4 linked regions of the Notamacropus eugenii genome follow. The protein of the gene in region 1 interacts with the protein of each later gene in a biochemical or structural test. Links are inferred from orthologs where the notes say so. Each region holds a gene or a part of one and is shown in the gene's direction. Other genes may lie near its edges.

Region 1 (7,154 bases):
TACCACATATTGTTTATTTGATATTTCAAACCAACTGGCCCAGAGACATCTCAAAATCAACATGGAATCTAAAACTCAACTCATTAGGAAAGTTTCCCAGTTTCTGTGGAAAGCATCTTTCCTTTCAATTTCTGAGGTTTGTAATCTTAACATTGTTTTGAACTCCTCATTCGCTCTTTCTCACCCTACATACTCAAGCAGTAGCCAAATCTTGCTATTTCTACCTTTGCAATAGCACTCCAATCTCATCCCTTCTCTCCACTCACACAGGCACTAACTTATTCAAGCCTTCATCATCTCTTGTTGCTTAAGTGTTCTCCTGCCTCTAGTCTTTCTCCACTCCACACACTACTGCCAAATTAATTTTCCTGAAGCAGATTTGACTGTGTGACTCCTCGATCAAATCTAGTGGCTTTTTAGAGTCTCTAGGATCAAATATAAACCTGTTTAGCTTTTAAAGCCTCATACACATTGGCCACAACTTGTTTTTCCAGTTTCAGTGGAAATTACAATTCCTCTCACACTTTGCAAATAAGTCAAACAGACCCCTTCCTCACAAATGGTCTCATCTCCCTGCCTTTATACTAGCAGTGTCTTCCTTTAAGATGTGGCTCAAGCACCATCTTCTGTATGAAGCATTTCCTCCCAATAGCCAGCGTCCTCCTTCCCAAACTACTTTGGATATATTCATTTATTCATTTTATATCTTCGCACTTAAGTGTTCTCCCTCTCTCGGTCTTTGTCCTCTTCCCCCCTCCACACACACACACACAGCGTGTCCCATTAGAATGTAATCTGATTCAGAGTAGGGACAGGTAAGGAATGTTTCATTCTTTGTACTTGCATCCCCAATGTCTGGATATAGTGATTGGCACACAGTAAGCCAAAATACTTATTGATATTTTCTCATTTTTATTCTTCTGTTCCTAGTTGACAAAGCTGTGGATGACTATGCAGTGGACAATTTAATGGTGAGTGAAAATAAGTCTGCAACATATTATCAAAGAAGAAATGCACAGAAAGAAAAGCATAAAAAGTATGGCTAAAAGAGAATACGGGTCATTCACCCATAGGGCAAGAGGAACAAGATAATTGAAGGACAGCATGTATGCTCCATTAGTACCCACACAATTTCAAGAGATCTAGCTAGGAGTGGTGGTGCCTGTCTGCTACTGAGGAGGCTGAAGTTAGTAGATTGCTTAAATTCATGAGTTCTGAGTTACGGTGTGCTAAGACTGATCAGTTGTCCTTACTAAGTACAACACCAAAATGGATCCTTACAGGGAAGCAGAATGCCAATGGAGAGGTGAAATGACCCAGGTTGGAAACAGAACGAGTCTAAACTCTTGTGCTGATCTGTGGTAGGACTGGGCCCATGAGTAGCTAGCTGCTGCACTTCCAGGCTGGGTGAGACTGGGAGAGCAAGACCTGCCCTCCACCCTGCTACAGAGATTTTGAAGGCTCCCAATACATTCAACAAATCATAGGATTTTAGAGTTTGACGGGACCTCAGCAGTCACTATTTTAATCTGTATCTAAAAAGGAATCCTTGCTACAATACGTTCAACAAATGGTTGTCCAGTCTGTTTAAAGACATTCAATGACAGGGAACCCATCATTTTCAGAGAAAACTATAATTGTTAATAAGTTTTCCCACCTGGTATCAAGTCTAAATGTGCCACTTTGCAATTTCTGCCCACTGTTCTTAATTCTGCTGCTTGGACACAAAGAGAATTGTGTTCTAAACCTCTCATCTCCTAATTCACCTAAACTGATCTCTATATGGCACGGACTCAAGTCCCTTCACTATCCTGGTCATCATCATTCTTTGGACACTCTTCAATTCATCAGTGTCCCTTCTGAACTCTGGCCCTCATAATCAAAGACATTACTCTAGATGTGGTATGAGTAGGGAAAGTATTCCTGAAAGCTATGCATATCCATGTTGACCCAAGATCACATTAACTTTTTTTGGTGCCTTTATCACACAATAGATACATATTGAGCTCATAGTTCACTAAAATCTCAGCTCTTTTTCAGGCCAAATTTGGCCTAATCATGCCCCCTGCATTTTGCATGGGTGAAAGTGATTTTTTTTGAGATAAGTAAAGAGTTTATTTACATTTACCCTAGTCAATTTCATTTCATTAGAGTTGGCCAAGGTTATCAGGATTCTGGGGTCTTTATTCTGTTATCCAAAGAGTTAGCTATCCCTCCCAGCTTTGTATTATCTGAAACTCTGATAAGCATGCTATCAAAGACCTCATCCAAGTCACCGACAAAAACTTTTACATGAGCAAAGAAGAACAAAGGACAGATCCCAGGGACACCCTACCAAGGACTTCCAAGAAGACCTCAAACCAATAAAGATTACTCTGACTATGGACATTTCAGCAATTCTCAATCACCCAACTGTATCACTGTCTACCTTGCATCTCTCCAGTTGTTTTTTCTTTTTTTAGCAGAAGTAGGATGAATAGGGAAGTACTAAGAAAGCACCTAGCTACCCTACTTGAGTTTAAGTCACTTGGTCCAGATAAACTATTTCCTATGATACTAAAAGCAGTAGCTATGATACCTGAGACATTGTCAGGATCTCTGAAAGATTATAGAGAAAAGGAAGGTGCCACAGGAATGGAGCACAAATACTGTCATAACGTTCAAAAAGGTATGTTTTCAAAGCGTAGACCAGTAAGCTTCAGTTTGGCAAAATTCAAGGAAGGATTACTACAGAGGCATCTAGAACATCTATAAAAAGAAAACATGCAAATACCAATGTGCAACGACCTATATACAGGACGAACTGGACATAACCAACAAAGAACAGGCATTAAAGGAAGTGAGATTTTTCGCCAGGTCTCAAAGGAAGTCGGGAGGCAGAGATGAGGGAGAGAATTCCAGGTATGAAGGGCAGCCAGTGAAAATGCCCCGAAAACACCGCATCTTATCAAAAACCCCATACAATATTAGTTTAAAAACCAGTTTAAAAATATGTCAAGTCTCTGTCACAGGCCCAGATTCTGAAAATATATGCGGCTCAAGCCTTAGCAACACAACTGTGGATACATTTTCAGAGAATATAAACACACACACACACACACACACACAAACTGAGCCACCAAACTGGAATGGCCCACCCCACCACGGCAACACAAGCTGGACAATGGAAGGAACCGAGTCATCCAAATGGAGGGCTGGAAACGAAGGCCCAATCTGCCTTTTCTCCTCGCCAGAAAACTGCAAAAATATAACGGTGGTGCCTCTAAAACGTGGAGCAGCGCCCGAGAGGCCGTGGGCCCGAGCCGGCCCAAAGCCTCCCGAAGGGGCTCCCAAGCCCGCGGCTCGGAACGCGACGTTGAGGACTCGGCAGGCGCTCCCCCCAGGAGGCGCTCCCCCCAGGAGGCCCTGGCCTGTGCTCGCCCCGCTCCAAGGCCGCCCAGCCCCGGCCCTGACGCGGATAACTGAGGGCAGGCAGGGAAGAGCCATCTCCTCCCCCACGTCAGGGTCCTCCCCGAGGCCGAGCCCTCACCTTCCCGCCTCGCCTCCCGTCGGGATGAGCGTCTGCTTCCTCGGGCACCCGTGGCAGGGGAGCCGCGCTACTCGACCCAAGGGGCCTGGGGCTGCCTTCGCCCCCAGGGCTAAGGAGAAGCCGGTCGCCGGTTGGGCTGGGAGGCAGTCTCCTCCGCCCACCCCACCTCCCCAAAGGTAAGCCGCAGAGCCGCAGACCAGCTCGGCTCGCCCCGAGGCTCCACTCACCCAACACTAGCCGGGCGACGTCGGACGGTAACAGCATGATCAGGCCTCTAGAAGGACTCTGAGACCCCAGGCACGTCTCAAAAACCTTCCGCGTAGCAACACCGAGACCGCATCTCTCGGTCCCTGCGGCGGCGTCAGCTGCTGCACCGAACCCGAGGCAACTCGTCCCGCCCCCTGGGTCCTCTGTAGCCAATCGCTCCTAGGAAGAAAGAAAGGCGCGGAAACGCGCCCCGCCCCAACCCTGACTGACAGGAACATCATTTCCGCTCAGGAATGAGGAAGGCGGGGCAGGAAATGGAGCTTGGGTGGTTACACGCCTGCGCAGCGCATCTTAATAAGGGGCTTGAGGGAGAATGGTCATTCTATTAAAACGTCGCGCCCTATTAGCGTACCGCTGCCTAGGAGAAAGGGGCGGGGAAAGGAGAGGATTAGTGGTACGCTTGCGCAGAGGGAGCCACGAAGGCTACGATCTCCCCGGATTCTCCCGCCATGGAAGGAGCCTGCGCACTGAGGGTTGTTTAAACCCGGAAGTGAGAGCTGTCGCGTGAGTGTGGAGCTTGTGAGCGGTCTGCCTGTGGGGAGAACAGGCTGGAAGGAGGAGAGAGGACCCAGACGGCCTTCCCTCTGGAGGCTGCGGCCTTCGGAGCCCTGCGGTAGGGGGCGAGGGAGAGCGCGTCCCGCTTCCGTGGGCTTTGGGATTCTGCTTCGGCATTCGCGGATCTGGGCGCCCTTTCCCCTTGTCCGCTCCGGCCACCACCGCCCGGGGATACCCCACTTCCCCGGGCCTGGACCCCGGGGCGGAGCGCTTTAAATCCCCAGGGAGGGGGCGGGGAGGGAGGCGCATCACCCCTTCCGCTCTTCCCCTTTCCCCTGCAGCCCTGAAGGCGAGCGCCGGCATTTCAATCTCTCTTTTCCCCATCCTCCTCTCTTGACTCTGGGTGGCTTCTGTTTGTCTTTGCTTCCCCCACCTGCCCATACCATTCAGCACCGAGCTGGAACAACCGTGGAATCCTGGACACCTGGTCTACCTGGCTGAAGCGGGTGCCCCCCATGTGACCCGTTACCTTGGGTACCTCCTCCTCCTCCTCTCTCCGGGAAGTGAGGGAGGGGCACTTTCCGAAATACCGAGTATTAATTACAGGGAGTTAAGCAGTTGCCAGTCACGATCCGTAAGAGTCCGGCTGTGAAGGAACCTTAGATGGGATCATGGAAACCTGGGGAGGTTAAGCGCTTTGTCTACGGCTAGACCGGGGTTAGTAATGGCAGCGAACGTTTGTAGAACACCACGTGCCAGGCGTGTGCTAAGGGCTTTACGGTGATCATATCTGACTCACGACCATCCCGGGAGGCGCTATTGGCGTCCCCGTTTTACAGGTGAGAAAGTTGAGGCCCCCAGGCTAAGTGACTTTCGGAGCGTAATGCAGCTGGATTTGAACTCAGATCTTGCAGATTAAAGGCTCCGTACTCTATCCACTTCATGGCCTTCTATGCCCATTGGAGTATGTCAGGATCCTCTCTCTTTTTACTATTAGGAGACAACCTGTTTTCCAGAGGTAGGGCTCAACAAGCAAGTTGTGCCCTGAACTTGGCATAAAAGCTTTTTATTTTTTTGAACAGACCTGCTGCGAATCAAATTTATCTCATTGCTGTTACCTCTCCATTGTTAGGGCTACAGCTTACTGCGAAGCCATTGGTCGTTTGTATTGAGATTTGTCCACATGAAGGGGGGAGTGTCCCCTAATAGAGGGGACCCTGCCACATGTATGTCTAGTTTCCTCCTCCAACAGGAAATCTCCAACAGAGTAAGGAAAACAATTTGCTTATAACCACTGTTAGCTCTTCGGTTTTATTTTACTTTATTTTTAGCATTAACTGTGGTTAACCTGTGTGAGCTCTCTAGTTTTGTTTTTAAGAGTTAACAAAGCTGCCATGACTGTTCATTTAGTCAGGGTTAACAAGTGTTAAGTTTTTATACCAAGATACCTAGATGTTATGTTTGCTCATTTTTTGGTGTATTGTTAGTCTTCTAGAATTTTAAGCCAAAATTCTTAGGAAGTTCAGCTCTACTTTTCAGTGAATAAATGAAAATACATTCATTAAACTCCTTATGTGCCAAGCTGTATGCTAATCCATGGGAATCAGATGCAAAAGGGAGACAGACCCTGTCCTCTTGGAGCTTATGTTCTAATGAGGGAATCCTCACATATAGGGTGGCAGCCAGGAAAGAGTAAAGTCAAAGGGGAGTAGAGCCTTAGGGCAATTGATTTTGCAGAAGTAGTTATAATGGTAGTTCTGTTAGGTTTACTTTTCCCAGAGCTAGAAGTGGAAATAGGGGAGAGAGGGGGTGGGGAAGGGGAGGAGGGCAGGAAGGTAGTAGTGAGGGGGAGTGTCCTATGCAATCACTTGGGCAAAAAGTTGTCTTGGTGGAGTGACTGGGGTGAGCCTGATGTAATGACCTCTCATTAATCAATAAGACCCCAGGGCAGGAGCCAGGGGTCCCTTGTGACTGTGGCTTTCTATGCAAATCAGAGGTGATTATCCTTGGACTTTGGGCTTACTCAATATGAATCATAAATAACTAACATTTAAAGATTTACTAAACTTTTCCCAAGACCTTTTGATCTAGATAATGAAATGATCATTATCCCCATTTTATGTATGGGGAACTGAAGTTCAGAAGTCACATAACTATTTAGTGGTGGGCCCATTATTTTAATTCATTTCTTCAGATTTCAGTTTTTTATTTTAAGAGGAAATAGGTAAAAAGAATGGGAAGGGTTTTCCTGAAAAATAATAGGTAGGACTTTATGGACCTTTTAAAATATTGGAAAAGCTGTTACATGTAGGATATTAATTTTTTTTTTTTATAATAACACATTCATGTACTTCTATAAGGAAAGGACTTTGTAGACCTGGAAACAATCTTGTAACGTAGGTAGTGCAAGTGTTATCCTCATTTTATCAATGAGAAAACTTGAGATTGGGGGGAGTGTGATTTGCAAATGGTTCATCAATCAGTATTTATTAATCTCCTTCTGTGTGCCAGACACTGGGGCTAGACTATACTGAGAATGCAAAGACATAATTGAAACACACTCTACCCTCAAAGAGCTTATATTCTGTGAGAAATACTACGTAAACATATCTACATGTAAGTAAACATATACAAAATAAATACAAGGTGGTAGTTGGAGGAGGGAAATCAGGAAAAGCTTCATGTAGAAATTGGTGCCTCGGTGGAGTTTTGAATGAAATAAGGGATTCTGAGCTAGAGATGAAAAAGGAGTGAATGCAAGGCTTGGAGTTCAGCCAGGGCAAAGAGATGAGGACAGGAGATGGAGTGTAGAATGCTAGAAAAGTAGTAATGTGTAACAGGGCCAAAAAAGTATAAGGAAGTC
Region 2 (7,003 bases), on another chromosome or scaffold:
TCTTCCACTGTAGTATCAAAGCACACCTGTTTGGTGAAACTTTCCAGATGAAGACACTGAGTTATTCTGCTTCAAGTGGTAATGATGTCATATTGTCACCTAATAACATAGATTTCTCCTTGAGGAACTATGATGATAATCAAATCCCTCATTCAGGCACAAAAAAGGCATGACTTTCAGCTATAACAGGTACAAAAGATCTGTATGTACTCCCAAGTTTTGATGCCAGATATATCTATGATTCACCCTGGGAGTCAGGACCTATGTTAATAGCCTAAATGGAGCAGTTTGCTGTCAGGTACATGTAATATAGCATTAAAAGTATCCGATAAGAACAAGATTTGATGAATGTAACTAGGATTTTTTTTCATTTTTTCTACTTTAGTATTATGCAAAAGATCTATTTTTAAACTGATCCATTGACTGTAGACATCAATCAACAAGTATTTATTAAGGATAATATGATTATCAGTTTAGAGCTGGAAAAGACATTTAAAGACATTTGAAGCAACTGAGGACCAGAAAAAAAAATAAAAGATCTGTCCAAGATTACACATTACGATAGAGGCAGGACTCACACTCAAGACGAAAAACACAAACAAAAGCAACTTAAAGAGAAAAAACAGTGCCATGGGTACAAGGCTTAAGGAGAAACACAGTGAGAGGCCTTCGAACACAAGCATGCCCCTTAAAAAGACAAACTAACCAAAGGCAGAGGGGCTGCAAGGTATTGCTGTCCATTGGTTCATATATAAATGATTGCTTTCAAAGTTTAAATGATATACAGCTGCTTCTGTTACTTAATATTTGCATGAGCAAATCACTCAACCTCTCTGTTTCCTCATACGTAAAATGAGGGAGTTGGACTAGATGCCAGTTCTATATCTATGATCTATAAATTAGAAATCAAAGAACTATCTGGAGACCAAGAAGAAATTGTATGTTATCTGTTTGTGCCCTATCTGATAGAACTGTTTCTCAACCTGTGTTAGGGATCAAACACTACTCACAAGATGTCCTGATCTGAGGAAATAGTATTTATCAGTTAACCATCAAGTAATGTGGCAGGCATTGTTCTAGTCACAAGTATAAATGCAAGTACAAAGAAAATAACAACCCTTTCTCTAAAAGACCTTACATTTCAATGAGGGATACAGGAAATATATATAAAAATACAAACAGAGTCAGGGTCTGGGGGCCACCCAAGCCCCAACTAACAGTTACCATCCCAAAAAAGCAACTTCTGAAAAGATGTAACCTGGCAACTGCTTCTTCAGGGGTTAAAGTCATTGCCTCCTCAAAAGGCAACATCTATTGAAGACTCAGTAAAGAAAGTCACTGTCCATGAGCTTAAAGTTAAAAACAAATGTGATTTTATCAGTGAAAATGACTATTAAAGAAGATGCTTCACTATCTGCTTTGCTGCTATCCCCTAACGGTCATGGAATCTTTTCATTTGACTTGCACCAGATAGATATGTGATGCATCCCCCTATTAGAATGTGAGTAGACACAGAAACCCTGAGAAGAGATACTGTCTCCACCCTTCTATTTGTATGCTTTAAACATAGTAAATTCTTAATAAATGCTTATTCATACAGTATAAATCTAAAACTGATAAATGCAAATATATACAAAGTAGTTAAATATAATAGAGTCAGAGAGGGAGGGTACTAGCAACTGGAGGAATCAGGATAGGTTTCACCCAAAAGAGGGTGTTTGAGCAGTGTCTTAAAGAAGAATGGGATTCTATGAAGCAGAAGTAATAAGGGAGTACAGACCAGCCAGTATAAAGGCATGAAGTCAGGAGACAGAGTTTCATGTGTAAGGGAAAAAAAATAAAAGTCCAGTTGGCTGTATTGCAAAATGCAGGAGGGAGAATAATGTCCAGTGAGGTCAGATGTGTTAGCTACCCTCCCAGTTTTACATTATCTACATCAATAAATAAAATCAAATGCTGTCAGACATAAATTATTATTATAGACTTAGAGTTGTCATGGGCTTTCCTTGCCATCAAATAACTCTTGAATTAAAAAATAATAATAATAATAAAGTGTGTCATATCTTAAATAAAAAGGAACTGACATAATATTGAATAAAAGTTAATGCCATTATGAGACATACCATATTCACAACAAATAAAATAAACTATATATGAGCATTTTTTATATGAACTTACATGTAACAGGTGGCAAGTTTAGGGCAAATGTGAGGAAGAAAGGGGAAATGGCAATGAGAATAGCTCTTAGTGTTTTACAATTAACAATGGTTTTCTTATTCTCTATGATCATCAGACCAACCTAAGTTGAGAGGGGTATTTGCTAGGTTGTTTTTATCAAATTCTTTACCTGTAAAATTTCAATTATTTTTAATTTTGTGTCCATAACAGTGATGTCCTCATTATCAGTTGTACTTGCTTGCTTGATTGGATGGGTGCTAGGCTGTACATCAGGGACAGACATTGGAAAGATAGATCCCCTACTGAGGACCATTTGGGTCATCATCTCTCCAACACCATGGATAGTTCGCATAACATTATTTCCTAGAAGAAGAAAAGCACATAAGCAAGCACATATAGTACACAAAGAGTTATAACATCCATCAGGTAAATATACATTTAAATGTATGACAAGAATATTAAATGTCATTAATAATCATATTTTTATGTGTGTATGTATATATATATATATATATATATATACAGTATGTGTGTGTGTGTATACAAATGTGCTGGCAAAAACTGATATTCCAATAACAACTCAAAAATCCAGGTAAATATTTTATTAGCAAATTCATTTTTTTCCAAGAAGCATTTTAAATAGAATACTAAAGTTGTCTGTTATAGATAGTTCTGATGACATTCAAATGAGGTCCTCATGAAATAAAATTTTACCCATAGTCCAAGATTAATGGGAAATTATGATTTCTGATCCTATCCTCAAGCAAAGGTTCTATTTTGCTTCTCTTTGCAAAAAACAAAAGTTATACTAATTATTGTCTATTTCAATGACTTTTGGTTTTAAGAAAAAATATACTATTTGAATTGAAAACTACTATTCCAAATTCACAAAACAGCAATTGTGTTCAGAGTAATTACTGGAACAAGTTAGTGACAAATATGATAATATTCAATTGAGGGCTCACTTCCCATTTATTTCTTTCTTCTGTGTATGGTTCCACACTGGTATATTTGTTGGAAAAAGACAAAAATCCCACCGAGTGCCAACAATTTATTCAGTTCCAACAATTCACATGTACTTCTCTATTCTAGAGCTCCTGAGGTAAGCAAGTTTGTTTCAAATAAATGATTATGTTTTCTTTGTAGTAATCTTAGAGTAAATAGGTCAAGGAGTCGGGCTCTGGGCAAACATAAAGGATCCCCCTGTTTTGGTGAATTATTCTTTGCCTAAGTAATTCAGGGGAATAAACCAAGAAGAAAATGGAAATACTGCAGCATGTAATGGAACACTCTTTTCAAAGCGATAAAAAGAGTGGAAACATTCAAAAGATGGAAAAGTGAAGAGAATGAAAATAATTTCCAGAAGCATTAAGTGAATCTTGATGGTTTCTTCCAGACTCTCACGATCATAGGTTTCAAAACTAAAAACTTGGCGGCCACTACGCCCGTTAACAGTTGGTAAAAATGAATCCATTCTGTTACACCTTTCGAGAAACAATGTATCTGCAGAAGGGCAGCATTCCAAAGAAACATTTCAAAGAATCCATAAGCAAGCCTGGGGGATCACTGTGACAGACCCGGGACAAAGGAGGGGTTTGGAGAGAGAGGCTGGAGGCAGAGTGAACACACCAATAATAAAGATCCGCCGACAGAATGAATGCCTGGTGGGCAGTGGAATCCTACAGCCCCCGACCCCAGCCCACCCCCAGCACACCCCCACCCCCACCCCGCGCTTTACAGGAGATGTTGGCCGGGGGGGGGGGGGGGGGGGGCGATGAAGCTCAGGCAGAGGCAGACAGACACAGACAGACACACACACACACACACAGACACACGTAAAAACAGAGACGGAGAGCAAACGGAGAAAAAAAGGTCTCTGGTTGGCAGAGGAAAGTGGCGGGAGAGGGGAGGAAGGAGAAAGCGCGCCAAAGAGAGAGAAAGCCGTCAGTCTCACGGCGGGAAGAAACTGGACGGGTAAGCGGAGAGCAAGGGGAGAAGCCAGGGCGTAGGTGGGGCTAAGAGCCACTGCAGGCTTCCCACCCCTTCCGCGGGCCCGCCAGTGTGCACATGCGCATTAGGTACACAAGGCGGGAGCAAGAGAGCTGGATGACGACAAAGGGGGAGGGGTCGTCCCTTCCGCTTCAATCGGTTCATCTGCGCAGGCGCAGAAAGCGGGCAAGTCCTGAGGACGCTGGGAGCGGGCGGGGTTGTCTTCCCCCGGCACTTCCTGGGATTACGAGCATATCAAGCGCACCAGGCCGACTAAGAGCAAGAAATACAGAGAGAACTGGCTTCACCCTGCTCGTCGGGGGCACGCAGGAGGCAGGCGAGTACTGGAATCGGGGGGTTTAACTGGAGTCCCGCCTTTCTTCCTGCAAGCGCGCGCACACGTATGCGCAGAAGCGCGCGCGATCCCGCGCACGGCGCGTCTCGCGAGACTTGACTAGAGCCCGGGATCCCGCTGTTTGTGTTTGTTCCCGGACCCCCCATTGCCCCGGGCCTGCCTCCCTGTCCCCGCCCCCGCGCTCTCCGGTGCTGCAGCCCCGCATTGCATCGCCATGGGGTTTCTAAAACTGATCGAAATCGAGAATTTCAAGTCATACAAGGGCAAGCAGATCATCGGGCCCTTTCGTAGGTTCACAGCCATTATCGGGCCTAATGGCTCAGGGAAGTCAAACCTTATGGACGCTATCAGTTTTGTGCTGGGCGAGAAGACCAGCAATTTGCGCGTTAAGACTTTGCGGGATCTGATCCACGGGGCTCCCGTGGGCAAGCCAGCCGCCAACCGTGCAGCGGTCAGCATGGTGTATTCTGAGGACAGCGGTGAGGACCGCACCTTTGCCCGGATAATTGTGGGGGGCTCTTCAGAGTACAAAATCAATAACAAAGTGGTCCAGCTGCTTGAATACAGCCAAGAGCTGGAGAAACTGGGCATCCTCATCAAAGCTCGGAACTTCCTCGTGTTCCAGGGTGCTGTGGAGTCTATTGCCATGAAGAACCCCAAGGAGCGGACAGCCTTGTTTGAAGAGATCAGCCGCTCTGGGGAACTGGCCCAGGAGTATGATAAGCGGAAGAAGGAGATGGTCAAGGCTGAGGAAGATACCCAGTTCAATTACCACCGGAAGAAAAATATTGCGGCTGAGCGCAAAGAAGCCAAGCAAGAGAAAGAGGAGGCTGACCGCTACCAGAGGCTGAAAGATGAGGTCGTTCGTGCGCAGGTGCAGCTACAGCTATTCAAACTGTATCACAATGAGATGGAGATTGAGAAACTAAATAAGGAACTGACTTCCAAGAACAAGGAGATTGACAAGGAGAAGAAGCGCATGGACAAGGTGGAAGAAGAACTAAAAGACAAAAAGAAAGAACTAGGCAAAATGATGCGTGAGCAGCAGCAGATTGAAAAGGAGATAAAGGAGAAAGACTCAGAGCTTAATCAGAAGCGGCCCCAGTACATCAAGGCCAAGGAGAATACTTCACACAAAATTAAAAAGCTGGAAGCTGCCAAAAAGTCTCTGCAGAATGCCCAGAAACAGTACAAGAAGAGAAAGGGTGATATGGATGAACTAGAAAAGGAAATGGTGTCAGTGGAGAAGGCAAGGCAAGAGTTTGAAGATCGCATGGAGGAAGAGAGTCAGAGCCAGGGTCGGGACTTGACTCTGGAGGAGAACCAAGTGAAAAAATACCACCGGCTGAAGGAGGAGGCAAGCAAGAGAGCTGCCACCCTGGCCCAGGAGCTGGAGAAGTTCAACCGGGACCAGAAGGCTGACCAGGACCGGCTGGACTTAGAGGAGCGAAAGAAAGTTGAGACAGAGGCCAAGATCAAGCAGAAACTTCGAGAAATTGAAGAGAATCAGAAGCGAATTGAGAAGCTGGAAGAATACATCACCACCAGCAAGCAGTCTCTGGAGGAACAGAAAAAACTAGAGGGGGAACTCACTGAGGAAGTTAAACTTGCCAAACAGCGCATTGATGAAATCAACAAAGAGCTGAATCAGGTGATGGAGCAGCTTGGTGATGCCCGCATAGACCGACAGGAAAGTAGCCGGCAGCAACGCAAGGCAGAGATAATGGAAAGCATCAAACGCCTCTATCCTGGTTCCGTGTATGGCCGTCTCATTGATCTGTGCCAGCCAACACAGAAGAAGTATCAGATTGCTGTGACTAAGGTGCTGGGCAAAAATATGGATGCCATCATTGTGGATTCTGAGAAAACTGGCCGGGACTGTATCCAGTACATAAAGGAACAGCGTGGAGAGCCTGAGACCTTCTTACCACTTGACTACCTAGAAGTGAAACCAACAGATGAGAAGCTTCGAGAACTGAAGGGGGCCAAGCTGGTGATTGATGTGATTCGCTATGAACCACCACACATCAAGAAGGCCCTCCAGTATGCCTGTGGCAATGCTCTCGTATGTGATAATGTTGAAGATGCCCGGCGCATTGCATTTGGTGGCCACCAGAGACACAAGACGGTGGCACTAGATGGAACACTTTTCCAGAAGTCCGGTGTCATCTCTGGAGGGGCAAGTGACCTCAAAGCCAAGGCCCGCCGCTGGGATGAGAAAGCAGTTGACAAACTGAAGGAAAAGAAAGAACGTCTGACAGAGGAGCTGAAGGAACAGATGAAGGCCAAGCGGAAGGAGGCTGAGCTGAGGCAGGTGCAGTCTCAGGCTCATGGCTTGCAGATGAGGCTCAAATACTCCCAGAGTGACCTGGAACAGACAAAGACCCGGCACCTTGCACTCAATCTACAGGAAAAGTCCAAGTTGGAGAGTGAGCTGGCTAACTTTGGCCCACGTATCAATGACATCAAGAGGATCATTCA
Region 3 (7,010 bases), on another chromosome or scaffold:
CCACAGGGCTTTGATAACCAAGCTGGAAGCCCTCCTCTGCCTACTTCAGCCACTTTAGTGGCCACTGGAACAAATTGTTCTCATCAGCCCATTCTGATGAGGAAGTCTTTGAATGCTTGGGTTACATATCTCCCTACCTCATTGAAGGGTTTGAGACCCCTGGTAGTAAAAAAAGGCATTGCCTTGTTTGTCTATGTTCCCCTCAAAATCCCTCTTTGGTTTCTTCTGTGCATTTTTAGATGTTTTCCTAGTGTTGTCTTCTTTTCTCTCAACATTTTTTTACATCATTACCACTAAAACCCTCCTCTAACACCAAGAAAACCTTTCCTTTTAACAAAAATGTGTTCAAGCAAAACAAATTTGTGTTGAAATACTCATGTTGGGCAGTTAATAAATGCTTTGGTGTGAAAATAAGTCAGTGTGTTCTGCTCCTTTTCTTTTCTATAGATCTTAAAACTACACAGTCTATTTCCTTTAGTCCTGATACATGTCTCATTCAGTACCTAAGGCTGAAGATGAGGTAGAAGGCCCTCAGGCAAGGAACTAAGGGGACCCTCCCCTTTGTAGAAAGGGGCACCCTTGGTAGAAAAAGAGACTGAAGCTCAGTTCTACCAGCTATCCTCCTCCCTGGCTAGGTTATTGCTTAATGTTTGGGAACAGATATCAGCCAAACCAATTCCACATATATATCCTCAATCATTTCTCTGGGCCCTCATTTAGATAATCTCCTTCCTTCCTAATCTCTTGGAGCTATTTCTGTGACTGGGAAACAGGAAACTTTATATGATAGAATGTGGATTCCTTGATGGAGGGGACTATGTCATTTTCAGTGTCCGGCACACAGTAAGCACTTAATAAGTGCTGATTGATTGATTGATTTCAAGTTTGTATCCCCTGTGCTTAATACAGTGTCTTATACGCAATACATATTTTAAAATCTTCATTAAGTTCCACCCTACCACCCCCAGTAAATTAAAAAAGCCTTTTCAGTTGAACTGTTCCTCAAAGATCCAACCCTACCTAGCCTAAGTAGGACTGGGGCTGGGAGGTGGGGGCAGGGGGAACGGAAGTGAATCATCTTCTACTTCATAGAATCCTAGACTTTCAAAACTGGAAGGGACCCTAGAGATCATTTCATACAAATCTATCGTTTTGCAAATGGTGAAACTGAGATTCAGAAGTAAACTGACTTGCTTAATTAAGGTCATACAATCTGTAATAACCATGTGACCTTACTGCTTAACCTCTTTAGGTCCTTAGTTTACCTTACCAGTAAATTGGAATAAGACCACCTGCCCTTTCTATATCATAGGATTGTTGTAAAGAAACGAATGAGTTATATCTATGTGTAACACAAGCCCTGCATTCACTACTCCAACCTCCCATTTGTACTGGGAGGGTGAGGCTGTGAAAGTCATCTAGCTACTTCTCCTTAGGGTTCTTAGGTATAACCCTTGGGAGTTGGGGGTTTTCCAATACTTTGGTTCACAGGCCCCCACCAGCACGCCCCAATAATGATTATCAACTGATATAAATTAGCCAGTCAGGCTTCATTAGCTTTCAGAGATGGGACTTGTCTGGGACTGCTTCCCACACTAAGCTGACCTAACACTGGAATGCCCACTTTCAAACTAGCTCAATATTTCTATCTAACCCACAGGATGTGACAGATACTTCCTATACACCCCAATATACTTCCTATGTAGCACCACTTCATTTCATGCAATAACTAGAAACATTTTGTTTCTTGCAAATTAACTAAAGACTTTTCTCACCCAATTGAATGCCTTAGATTCAACAGATGTATTCTTACTAATAAATATCAAGGTAGATCACATCATATTAGTTATTGTGGAGTAGGCAGACTGATTGATTCAACAAATTGCCCTCCTTAAAGTAAGACACTTTGTCAAATATTAAATGTCATAGATGTAAGGTCCATTTATTATTTACTCATTGGAAAACAAACTCTGGTGCAGACTGAGAGTGGTACTTGAAGCCAGGTTTTTCTAACTTCAAGGCTTAGTATGCTGCCTTTCTAATACTCTGCCTTGGTCAGATGAAATCTGAGTATTAAGCTCAGTTCTGATAACACAGTTGAGAAAGAATATTAACCTGCTGGAGAACAATCGGAGAAAGACACCTATCATATTATTAAGAAGGTATCAGGCATATTTATCCTAGAAAGGAAAGCTGTTATGGAGTATGTGTAGGGATAGCATTTGGAAGACGGATTAAATTTGCCTTTCTTAGTCCTAGCAGCAGAACAACGTCTAATAGGTAGAAGTCTCAGAGAGGAAGACTGAGGTGTGATATCAATCTAACAGTTAAAACCACAGTTGGACCCAAGAGTCTGGAGAACTGCTCTCTCTCCTCTCCATCAAGGGGCCCCGGCTCTTCTGGATCGAAACCCTGGGTTCAGTTCTGGTGAAGCATGACATTTAAAAGAAAGGTCAGTTTTATTTTTAGTTCTTTTTGGTTCCTTCTTGTCTTAGCACTCTGAGAAGAATTCTTAAAGGTCTGGGTTTGACTCATGTCTAAGATATTCCCAAAGAGGAGAACAGACAAGTATTCAATGTATACTGGAACAAATAAGCTAATCAGCAATTGAAAAGCTTTTTATTTCTTACACACACACAGACACACAGACACAGTTCTAAACACAAAAATATTCTCACTAGCACCCACTGACAGAGATTCAAAACAGGACCTAGTAACTTATATCTACTCCTACGTTCTCCTAGAAGGCTGGGAGCTAAAACTCCCCAAATTAAGCATTTGGTGGGATTGATGAAGGTGCATTTTCAGTTTCTCCTCAGCTCTACACAATCCAAACCATTTCTTCAAGGTTCATGCCCTCTGATAAGACCAGCCGGGGCTTCAGCCCTTCTGCTCCCTCCTACCCTCTCCAAGGCAGAAACTTCCAGCATCCCAGCTAGCTAAGGAGAAACGAGGTGCTGCAGTCAAGAGAAGGGCGGACTTAGTCAGGAAGGCGCGAGTTCAAATTCTGCCTGAGACTCTGGCTGCGTGACCCTGGGCGAGTCACTTAACTTCTTAGCCTCAGCTTCCTCGTCTGTAAAACGGGATGGGGGTGACAGCAATAAGCAGCATTTTGCAGTCTGTAGAACCCTGGAAAAGGGATTTGCAGATCTCTCATTTGGTATTTGGGGCTATTATTATCCCCACTGCACAGAAGAGGAAACTGAGTAAGAAATTAATAGCATTGCTAATGTCAGAATCACAGAATCTGGAGCTGGAAGAGATCTCAGACACCATCTCCTGAACCCATACCCAAACAAGCTTCCACTTGTCTGTACGTTCTCTGTTACTGGAATGTGCACTGACAGGAGTGACACTCGCAACACCATCCACGAACCAACCCCTTCACCCACTTTTTTTAACCATGCGGGTTGTAAACAAGGCCGACCAATCAGAGAGCAGGAGGGTGGTGTACTCGCCCACAGCCTTCTGGGAGATGTAGTCCACGGAGATTTTTCAGCACCACCCCATGAGCGAGGGTCTCCTGGCCCAAAGCATTGTGGGAAATGCAGTCCTCAGAATGCTGCTCTAAAGCGTTTGCTCTGGACCCGCGTCTGCCCTGGGGAGCTTAGCACTGGAGGCTATTAACACGCGCTTTCAAAAGCAGGAAATTGGAGAGGGGAGAAGCGTTCTTCCCACCCCCGCCGGGGGCCCCCTGTAGGGTCCGGGGGGAGCCTGGGCCAGTAGTTGCCGCGCGGCGGGCTCCCACCCAGAGCTCGATCCCCCCCCCTCCCCGGAGCTGCGGGGGCGCGCGGAGCCCACGTCGGGGAAGCTTCAGGCTGGCAGTCCCCCTCCCTGCCGCCACGGTCCCCACGGTGTGGCTGCCGCCCCGAGGCGCGGCGCGGGGATCCCAGGGGCCGCCACCTCCCTGGACAGCCGGGGCATCCAGGGCTTCGGGATGGGGGCGGGGGGTGAGGACTACAAGTCCCGAGGGGCTGCCAAGCTGCGGCGGCGGAAGGGGCGGTCTGGGGGCGGAACGGGGCGTGGGCGCGAAGCGGGGACCGCTGCCCCCGGGGTCCGCGGCTGCAGCCAGGCCGAGGCCATGTCTGCGGGCGGGAGCTGTGGCCAGACGCCGAGCCGGGCCATCCCGGCCACCCGTCGGGTGGTGCTGAGCGACGGCGCGCCGCTGCCGCCCGGGGATTACAGCACCACCCCGGGAGGCACGCTCTTCAGCACCACCCCCGGAGGTACGGTGGGGGGCGCGCCGGGCTGGGGGTACGCGGAGGGCACACCGGGGCGGGGGGCACAGCGGGAGGGGGGGAGCCGAGGCGGGCCAGGACTGGGATGGCGGGGAGGACCCGGAGAGGGGCCGAGTGGAAGGCCGGCCTGACGGCACGTGGAGAGCCCTGGATGCTCGGGCGCTCGCCTTTGGAGGAGGGGGCGCCTTCCGCGAGACCTCTGCCCCCGCTTTACCTCCCCCGCCGCACGGTCTCCGCGTCCCGGCCCCCGGCGGACCGAAGAGACAAAGAACTCTTCCCCAGCTCGAGTCCTGGCGCCGTTCTGGCCCCTCGCCCGTCCCGGGGTAGTGGCACGCCGGGGCGATGTCCGCGCGGGCACCCCTAGGAGGACAGCCCGGAGCCGGGCACTGCCAATCCTTCCTTCACCCGAAATCGCTCCCCCGGGGCGCTTTAGGGGTGGGCTTTAAAAAGCGGCAGGCTCGGTTGGAGGGGAGGCGAGGAAAGAGGAAGGTCCGGGAGGCGCCCGAGGGGAGCGTCCGTTTGACTTGCCAGTAACAGTCCGGAGTGGCCTAGAAGGAAGTTGAGCCTGGCACACGGTCGGGAAGGAGGGGGTGGGGGCAGCTTCGGGTTCCTCCGGTCCACGCAGCGTTCCCACGCAGCCCCAGGGAGTCGTGTCCGGAGGAGCTGATGAAACCCGCGCTCCAGTTTGCATAATTCCCCCCCCCTCCGATCTCCTGCCCCCGTCTCCTTTTGCCCCTTGCCAGGCTTTCGCCTCTCTCTCCAATCAGTACCCCGGGGAAGAAACAAAAAGCCAGAACCCCAGCAATTTCTCCGCTTCGAGTCGGGGCAAAAGGTCCCATTTCTGATTCCCGGCCCCAGACTGGAGGAAGGACTGAGGAAGGTCAGGGCTTGTGAATGCTGGCCTGCCCCTTCGGGGGCCACATGCTTATTTTCTCAGGCAGAGACTTGCAGCTGCCAGTCCCTTCCACGTTAGCGTTCAGCCCAAGTTGGGCACCCAGTAAGGCCCGAGCCCGAACACGGAATCCTGAGATGTTAGAACGGGGAAGAAATCTTGGAGATGATGTGTATCCGACTTCTTTATTTTTACAAGTTTGAGAACTGAGACCCTGGGTTAAAAGTGAGTTCCTATGGTCAGATGAAAAATCCCTTTGTTCTATCCAGATTTCATGAAAAGAATGCCATCATATAGCGTTTTAGCACTTAACAAAGTATTTCTCTTACCACCACATTCTGAGGTTAGTAGATTGTTACCTCTCCTTTAACAGATAAGAAACCTGAAGCTCCGAGTCTCAGACCATATTGGCCTTTAGGTCACTTCCAACTGAAATTCATTAACACTAGACTGAACCCCCTTGCCTTCCAGTTCCAAGACCAGCGCTCATTCCTTTCCACCTGGGGACTGAAGACACACTAGACAAATTTTCTTTCCTTCCACTTAGTTTTGGAAAAGCTGTTCCCTTTGCCACACATCTCAGTGACTTGTATTGACCCTCTTTTTTGAAGAACTTTTATTTTGTTTCCTCATTTTTAAGATGACGGTGTTGGATTAGCTGTTCTTTCCAGCCTTTCAGCTTTTTTTCTGTGTGTCATCTTTCCTTATTAAAATCTAAGCCCCTTGAAGCAGAGATGTGTCCTTGGTTTTGCTTGTATTTGTATCTCAAAACTCAATACAGTGCCTAAGTAAGCACCTAATAAATGGTTGTTTCCTACCTTCCCTCAGTCCATGACCCCATGTGATTGACTGTAGGGACATCCCTGAGACTTTTGAATTCAGCTCCTTTGGATGTGACTACCTATGGGGGACCGGGCATTGGCCTTTGCTTGGATGAAGCCAACTGCCCTGAGATTTAATGAGAAACATCAGCCTGTTAAAAGGGATTTTATGCCAGATGGTGTGTCGCATGCATACCTGTAATCCCTGCGCTTCATGAGCTCCAGTGGATTAAGCTATTTTGTCATCCCTATGACCCTACCCCCACCCTCCCAAGGCTTCACAGAAAAACATCCCCAGTTCTTTCAGTTGGTCTTTCTAGGACATGGACTTAAGATTCTTTACTGTTTTAGTTCAGTTAGCTAGATGGTATAGTAGATAGAGTGCCAGGCCTGGAGAGAGGAATATTCATCTTCCTGAGTTTAAATCTGGCATCAGACATTTATTAACTGTGTGACCCTGGGTAAGTCACTTAACCCTGTTTGCCTCTATTTCCTCATTGGTAAAATGAACTAGAGAAGAAACGACAAACCACTCAAGTATCTTTGCCAGGAGAACCCCAAATGGGGTCACAAAGAGTCATGACTGATTAACTAAACAAGAACAACAAAGCCAGTCATGTCTGAATAAGGTCAGGCACCGATGTGGTGAGCTCCTCTGAATGGATCGGCAGAGTTGTTGGGGGATGTGGGGGGGTGCGGCTTCATGAGAAGAGGCACAACAGTCCATGTGAGAAATACTGGTCCAGGTCTAACCGGGTTGACCTTCACTTGTAGCCTAGGAGAAAATGGGAGATCAGCTGTTACTTCCTCTTCCTGCGTTCCTTTGGACAGTGAAGAAATTCATGCATGGGGCCCCCCAGTTAGCTTCTTCCTCCCTTAGGTTGACAAACATTTGTTAAGTACTGGACACTGGGGAGTAGGAGAAAGGCCGAAACTGCCCTGCCCTCAGGGAACTTAAATTCTAAATGCTCTAAGATATTGAGGAACTGGGGGGGTACCAATGGCTGGAGAGAGAAGGGAAACCCAAGCTGAGTCTTGAAGGAAGCCAGGGAGACAGAG
Region 4 (7,450 bases), about 78 Mb from region 1:
AAATATTCTTATGATTCGCAACTTACAGTACCCACAGTTTTGGGGGGGGCGGGGTGTGTTTCAGTAGACTATGAAGAATTCATTATATTTGTGAACTTATCCAACTTTTAACCAACTTGCCATTCCAGTAATTTCTTGTAGTGATCCCCTCCCGCTTACACCCCATTTTAACATCTACATGCTTGTATTGGCAAGCTGTGCTCTAAAACTCACCTAAAGTAGCTAGATGTACCTACCCTCCCTTTATGCCATCTCCACGGCAGACCAACAGGGGAGTTCTATTATCTCAAGGGGGATTTCTGTATCTAAACATTAAAACCTATTGCTGACTGTGATAGACATGTCCCCTCCAACAACTAGACTGCTTACATGAAACTATCTCTTAATAGATACTGTAGGATTTTTAACCATCACTGTTGATGGTGATTAGCACATTAACACAATGATCCTATCATCTGCTTCATGAAGTTTTGCTATTTAAGGTAAATCTTTTGGGACTTGAATTTGATCTAGTTCTGAGTTTTTTATATCAGGTATACTTGTAAGCACAAAGTCAATAACCCATTATTCAAGAGACTGCCATGTGCTGTGAGCTGAGAACTTTTGAGGGTGGATGTTTGCTCTGGGGAGACCACCTGGTGAAGGTGAAGGTAAGATCATCTTGACTTGGTTTCCCATCAAGCTACTTACTTTTTCAAAGGGAAATTTTCCCACCTAGATAATTTGAACCTGGCTTTGATACTCTGTGAATAATGTGGAATTTGAATTGGCTGTTTTGTCTGGAATAAAAACAGAGCTAAGGGTTCCCTTGTTGTGGCTTCTCTGTATCATCACAACCAAGTCTCTCCTTTCCTTTCATAGCAAATTTCTATAATAAGGGCTTGAAAAATGGGAAGTGTGTGTGCCAATTAAAGCACTTCAGCTTATAAAATGGATTTAGAACACACAATTACTAATACTGAACCATTTGAGTTACCTTAATAGAATATAAATATGAAATATCTTCCTTGATTTTCCTCTAGCTTGTAGTTTTGTTTGTGTATGTAATACAGGAATAACTGGTTGTTGCCCTTTGTTCTCAAAGAAGAGCAAAATAACATCACTACGTTGGAGTCGAAGTACAATATATCTGACTGTGGCTGATCAGACCAATACAAGCTACTACAGGTCAGACACAAATAACCCATATGAACATTTGGAGTGGATTGTAGTTTTATTCATATATATAATGTAGGAATATACTCCTATATATTCTCATAAGGGATGAATTAGGAAATGTGACAATTTTCAAAATTGCATTTATTTTACATGAAAAACTGCATTGATAATTGTGAAGGTGAAATTATTTTCCTATTTGAAAAATCAATCTGATAAATTTAAGAGAAAGACTCACTTTAGAAAGAAAAACTCATTTTCCAATTCAGGACCTCATGATATAACAACTGAAATTCTCTGATGTTTCAGGTGAGTTATTTTGATACTCTTCTTATAGCTCTATTAATAAAGTCAGAATCATAAAGCCTGAGCCAGAAGGTTGTATTGATGGTGTCCTCAGGCCCCAGCCCTAAGATCATTATCTGGAAGCCTTTCAATTTCTCAGTAGGCCCCTGTCCTGTGAGAAAATTTTCTCGTTGAAGAACACATTCTCTTACCAGAACAGAGAGGAGCCTTGCTCAAGGATTTTTGTCTCTAATTGGCCCAAGAACTCTCTTGGAACCAGACCCTTAAGGTCCATGCCTTTGAAAACTCCCTCAATGTCTGGTATTCCCTATACTTTCCCATCCATAGCTCCCAAAGACACTTGGACCCCTAGATTACCTAATTAACATTCCTGACATTCCTTTCCCACACCCCTTTTCTGTATAAGCCCTGGCACCATCCTAATTCTCTTACACGTTCCTTTGCCTGCTTTTGCCACAGTATTACAATAAACTTTTTGCCATTTGACTAAGAGAAGACTTGAGTGTGTGAATTCATTCCAGGCAACTCTGCCTGGACATTCTTGGGGTCCCAGCACCCCCAAAACCTTGTCAGTATTAAATTGTATTGAGTTGGTATCAAGTCTTCCTACAGGCTCTTAGAACCTGAGAAGCAGATCTGGAAGGAAGAGTCCCTTCAGACTCCCATGAGCACGTGGCTTATTCTAGAAATGTCTGTTACCTCCTACATCTGAGAATTCCAAAAGTAGGCTGAAAGAATTCCACAAAGGGGGGGTGGGGCTGCAATACGAATTGGACCTTTTTCATCTACATCAAGAATTTCTAGTGAACTGCCTGAACCTGACAAAGGACTTTGCCAACACTCTCATTTCTCTCTTTTCCTTATGTGCTGATGCCTCTGTACCAGGCGGGATTGCCCCCTAAAAGACTTTGTCAATGTGCTAATGATAAAGGTAGTTATAAGATTTAGCCTGATGGTTCTGAGGCCATCATGATGGTTTTCCTCTTGAGGGAAAATCAGACATTTCCCTCCCTACAGCTGCTCCACCATTAGCATGTAAATGTAGGGACTGTCTTTTTGTCTGAATTTGGATTTACAGCCCTTAGCAGTGTTCAACATAGAGCTTACCACACAGCAAGTGCTTCATCTATCTTTCTAAATATTTGTCCTATGTGATTAGTCTTGTTATTTAGTTTCAGAATGCTAACAACCAATAGAAGTTGCAGAAAGACATACTGAGGCTCAATATAAGTGAAAGTTACCTCATAAAGCAGTAAGCTCTCCCACAGGAGTTCTTCAAGCAGGGTCTGGAGAACTGACCACTTGTTTCCATTGCTGAAGAGGATTCCTGGTCAGTTATGGGTTGGACTAGATCTAAGATCTTTTCTAACTCCTGAGATTCTGTGAACTTTCCTTATTAATTAATGTAACGAAACTGCATTTAAAGCCTTAACAATTTGGCTCTAGTCTGCCATTCCAGATTTACTACACATTGTTCCCCTTCACATGTACCTTCCAGTCAGAATATACTGACAGCACTTCCCATCTTTGCCCAGACTCTCCCTATTCCTGGACCATACCTCCGTCTCCCTCAAAGCTTGACCCTAGAGCTATTTCCTACAGAAAGACCTTCTTGATCTCCACCCCCACCCAATTCAAGTCATCTTGAATTTGTTCTGTATGTTGTTCTACTTAAACATTGTTGGCCCTCAATGGAACATAAGCTCCTTCTGGGCAGGTTTAGTTTTTCACTCCATGCCTTTTAAGTGGCTGTACCGCATGCCTGGAATCCTCTCCTTTCAAGTCCTACCTGCTTACAAGAAAGCTTTTCCAGTGCCCCTTGTTGCCAAGGGCCTTCCCTGTGAAAGTTTGATTTTTTTTATTATTAAAGGGGCCATCCCTTGACTCACGTTTTAAAGAGGCCTATTCCCTAAACGGGCATTACCTCCCTTTCAGTGAGTACCTGAAAAGGCCAGCCTAAGGAGACCAAGGTCTCCCACTGCCTCCTGGGCCATCTCCAGCCACCCCGATGAATATCTGGTCATGGAGCCAGGTGGCCCAGGAGGAGAAAGTGAGGCCGGTGACCTCGCATGGCCCTCGCTCCCTGACATCAAAGTCAGGGGCAAGTCCCGTCATCAAGGGAGACGGGAGGACGGACACAAGTCTGACGGGACAAACACCCACACCTCCCACCTACCCTCTGCACGCAGCTGTCCACCCCTCGTCTCCCCGTGAGATGGCGAGCTCCCTGAGGGCAAGGACCTTCCTTCCCTGCCGCGTCCTTGGGTCTCCGCTGCCTAGCACCGTGCCAGGCACACACAAGTCGGTTAATGAGTGCTTATCGGTTACTTGGCTGCAGCACCTGGCCGGTAACGGCCGGGATTAAGTGCGCTTGGGTGGACACTGGCTGCTCCGCCCGCCCTCCGAGCGGTGATAACAGCGCCTGCGGAGGGGCAAGGCGGCAGGGCGCCCTCGGACCCCGGCCCCATCGCGGGGAGGCCCGGGCCGGGGAGCTCGCGGTGTGGCCGGGGAGCTCGCGGTGTGGCCCGGGGAGCTCGCGGTGTGGCCGGGGGAGCTCGCGGTGTGGCCGGGGGGTGCTCGCGGTGTGGCCGGGGGGGTGCTCGCGGTGTGGCCGGGGGAGCTCGCGGTGTGGCCGGGGGAGCTCGCGGTGTGGCCGGGGGAGCTCGCGGTGTGGCCGGGGGGGAGCTCGCGGTGTGGCCGGGGGAGCTCGCGGTGTGGCCGGGGGGGAGCTCGCGGTGTGGCCGGGGGAGCTCGCGGTGTGGCCGGGGGTGCTCGCGGTGTGGCCGGGGGGGTGCTCGCGGTGTGGCCGGGGGTGCTCGCGGTGTGGCCGGGGGAGCTCGCGGTGTGGCCGGGGGTGCTCACGCCCCCTCGCCAGGACTCACTTTCTTCCACTGTAAAAGAGAGTGCGAGGAGGCAGGGTCGGACTCGGTGACCTCGAAGCCCGTTTCCGGTGGCGGATGAGGAGAACAAGCTGCGCCTGGGTCCAGAGAGCGCCGACCGGACGTTAAGCCGGACCAAACCGTCCGCGCTTGCGCCCTTCTCAATCAGCCACGAGACTTCGCGACCCTAGAGGTGAGAAAGTTACTAGAGGGGGAGATGACGTCACCTCCGAGGGGCGGGACCACACAGAGGTAAGATCCTACTTTTTCATTGGTCGCTTTCCGGGGATGTTTCTCTAGCCTGCGTTTCTAGCTCGAACGGGTTCCTGGCCGTACCAAAGATGGACGCAGAGACTTCACGTTTCTCTCGCGCGTCCGAAGCGTGCGCACGCCTCTCTAGCATTGCCCAAGCCCATTGGGTAAACCTGGAGTATCGTCGGCGTTGATTGGCTGAAAGGGGCGGAAGGGAAAGCAGCCAGCGAGTTGATTGGCGCAGCCGTTCGCGGGAGAGTGTTTGTGGCGCCAAATAGAGTCAGGTTTCTCCTAGGTGGGGACACTGCGGGATTCCCCGGTTCGGAGTGGACTTTGTGGACCCCGGCCCCGCTACGGCCCTCGGGGCGCTGCGGTCAACATGTGGAATAGTAATGGAGGAGCTGGGCGAGGGGCTTTTAGGGGACGGGGCGCAGGAGGGGAAAAGGGAAATGTGCAAAGTGGTGGAGAGAGAGGCTCGGCCAGGTCCGGAGGATGGGGGTGCTGAGGTGGGGGCAGCGGCGGAGAGCGGTGTGGCAGCAATGTGGGGCGGGGGCAGCTGGGGAGAGGGGTCCTGGAGGGGTCTGGAGATGGGGTGCTAAGCGGGGGACCGGGCGGGGCTCGCCACGCATCTGGGGATAGGTGTCGGGGGGGGGGCGGGACCCCAGAAGGGAGGGGGGAGAGAGACCCGGCCCTGAGCTGGGGCTGGGAATCTTGGGGGGGGTGGACTCAGGAAGGGAGGGGGAGAGAGACCCGGCCCTGAGCTGGGGCTGGGGATCTTGGGGGGGTGGACTCAGGAAGGGAGGGGGGAGAGACCCGGCCCTGAGCTGGGGCTGGGGATCTTGGGGGGGGGGTGGACTCAGGAAGGGAGTGGGGAGAGACCCGGCCCTGAGCTGGGGGTGGGTGGACTCAGGAAGGGAGGGGGAGAGAGACCCGGCCCTGAGCTGGGGCTGGGGATCTTGGGGGGGGTGGACTCAGGAAGGGAGGGGGAGAGAGACCCGGCCCTGAGCTGGGGCTGGGGATCTTGGGGGGGTGGACTCAGGAAGGGAGGGGGGAGAGACCCGGCCCTGAGCTGGGGCTGGGGATCTTGGGGGGGTGGACTCAGGAAGGGAGTGGGGAGAGACCTGGCCCTAAGTGGGGGTGGGGGCGGGGTGCTCTTTACGGGGTGGAGGATTCTTGACCCCTCCGACGTCTTTGCCCTCCAGGTGGGTTTGATGGAGGCTATGGGAACACTTCCTACGTAAGTGGAGGCTACACGCAGCCCCCAGGGGGATTTGGCACTCCTACCGCTTCTCAGGCTGAAAAGAAATCAGTAAGTTGAAAATGAACACTTGCTACTGTTTCGTTTACTTCTTCCTAACGTGACTCCTTGCTTAGAAAAGAATACCCATTTGGGGTATTTTAAGTCTAAACAGGATTGACATATCAGATGTCTAGGGGCTGGGCTGGGCCGGGCCAGAAAGGATGTGGAGATAAGCTTAATAAATGTTTATCCAGGCTTTCTTTATTTTGTATTGGTTTCTGTGGTTTCATTTTTTAGCTTATTAATTAGCATCATAGAGAAACAATAAAAACAGAAAAAGGAAAATGAACAGAACATTCAGTTGATCAGCATAGACAGTAGAAATAAAATTGTGATTTTTCTGACTTTAGCAAGTAGGAAAGGGCTTCCTGATTAGGTACTGGAAGTGAGTGTAGTTAATTGGAACCTCCCCTTTATCCTGAGGACCACAGAAGGGAAAGGGGATCCAAGTGGTGGGGTGAGCCCTGGCTCATAGAAATCCTCAACAGTAGCCACAACTCCCATGGAATCACTTCTGAAATCTACCCAAAGGACTGTCTCAAGATGAGGAATACATCCCATCCCTTTCTCTTTTACCTCTACTTCCGAGGGCTCTCCAGCAATATGGTTTCACTTTAAAATTTAACGCAACAGCTAATGAATCTTTTCCCAAGTAATTTGCTCTTCCTCACATTCAAGGCTCCATCTTCCAGCTCCATGCCTTTGAGACTTTTGTGCTTTGGAATGGTTGGATTGTAGATCTTGACTTTTTCTAAAACTAGCTGCTGATTAGATTACACATAGACAGCTGATTCTGATGTATTCCCTATTTCAGTATCCAGTTTATTGTAAAGGTAGTTTGACTTCTTTTGTCATATTGTTTATCAGATCCATTGTCTTTGAGTGTCTACTTGGAAAAAGTATTCATGACTTCTGGTTGAGAGACTTCTGGGTGGTTAACATGCTTTTGGCTTTTTTTGTGTGTTAAACCTGAACTACATTTTCCAGCCTCCTCAGAACCCAGCTTTATATTGAAGATGCCAGTTATCAAAATAGACATAAACTTGGTTTGCCGGTGCTTGTCAGGTTCTTTATATAACTTTCTACTTCTTCGTTCTCTGCAATAAATGTTGCCCCGTGAGCTGCCGTTTCCTTCACAGGGGTCTCTGCTTCAGCTCATCGTGATAAACACAGGAAGGTGACATAATATGTTCATTGAAATGTTTCTTGTTATTGCTCACACAATGAAACCAACTCTGTGGATTCTTTCATTTGCCTTTCCAAGGAGAACCTCCCATTTAGTTCAGCTGCCTTCTGAATCTGTTTTCTCTCATTGACGGAGGAGAACTTCAGCTTTATCTACTCTGTTTCATTTTTGTTTTTACTATTGAGTCTTAGTATCCAACTGGTTCAGTTTTTCTTTGAGATCCCTGTGGTGGTACGAGGGAGACTGACAGGTGCTTTCTCTTTACAGAGAACACGAGCCCAGCACATTGTCCCTTGCACCATATCACAGCTTCTTTCTGCCACCCTGATTGATGAAGTATTTAAGATTGGGGACATTGAGATTTCACAGGTA

Evidence for each region.
Region 2: the proteins of ATM (region 1) and SMC1A form a complex in vitro, tested with the Homo sapiens proteins (2 studies listed by BioGRID and IntAct, with this or other methods). The link is inferred for Notamacropus eugenii from reciprocal best matches to the Homo sapiens genes ATM and SMC1A.
Region 3: of the proteins of ATM (region 1) and EIF4EBP1, one has a biochemical effect on the other in vitro, tested with the Homo sapiens proteins (2 studies listed by BioGRID, with this or other methods). The link is inferred for Notamacropus eugenii from reciprocal best matches to the Homo sapiens genes ATM and EIF4EBP1.
Region 4: of the proteins of ATM (region 1) and RPA2, one has a biochemical effect on the other in vitro, tested with the Homo sapiens proteins (3 studies listed by BioGRID). The link is inferred for Notamacropus eugenii from reciprocal best matches to the Homo sapiens genes ATM and RPA2.

The regions. Positions count from the first base shown.
Region 1 is NC_092876.1:146,774,882-146,782,035, reverse strand, and holds the start of ATM (serine-protein kinase ATM), read left to right. Parts: upstream 1-4,149; 5' UTR 4,150-4,300; exon of another isoform or gene 4,301-4,409; intron 4,410-7,154.
Region 2 is NC_092874.1:178,917,629-178,924,631, reverse strand, and holds the start of SMC1A (structural maintenance of chromosomes protein 1A), read left to right. Parts: upstream 1-3,990; 5' UTR 3,991-4,736; coding exon 4,737-7,003. Other genes in the region: inositol 1,4,5-trisphosphate-gated calcium channel ITPR2, read right to left, coding at 2,348-2,541. UniProt on the Homo sapiens protein: Involved in chromosome cohesion during cell cycle and in DNA repair. Central component of cohesin complex. The cohesin complex is required for the cohesion of sister chromatids after DNA replication.
Region 3 is NC_092872.1:622,944,889-622,951,898, reverse strand, and holds the start of EIF4EBP1 (eukaryotic translation initiation factor 4E-binding protein 1), read left to right. Parts: upstream 1-3,986; 5' UTR 3,987-4,081; coding exon 4,082-4,226; intron 4,227-7,010. UniProt on the Homo sapiens protein: Repressor of translation initiation that regulates EIF4E activity by preventing its assembly into the eIF4F complex: hypophosphorylated form competes with EIF4G1/EIF4G3 and strongly binds to EIF4E, leading to repress translation.
Region 4 is NC_092876.1:69,021,195-69,028,644, reverse strand, and holds the start of RPA2 (replication protein A 32 kDa subunit), read left to right. Parts: upstream 1-4,440; 5' UTR 4,441-4,533; intron 4,534-4,640; 5' UTR 4,641-4,971; coding exon 4,972-4,981; intron 4,982-5,794; coding exon 5,795-5,901; intron 5,902-7,345; coding exon 7,346-7,447; intron 7,448-7,450. UniProt on the Homo sapiens protein: As part of the heterotrimeric replication protein A complex (RPA/RP-A), binds and stabilizes single-stranded DNA intermediates that form during DNA replication or upon DNA stress.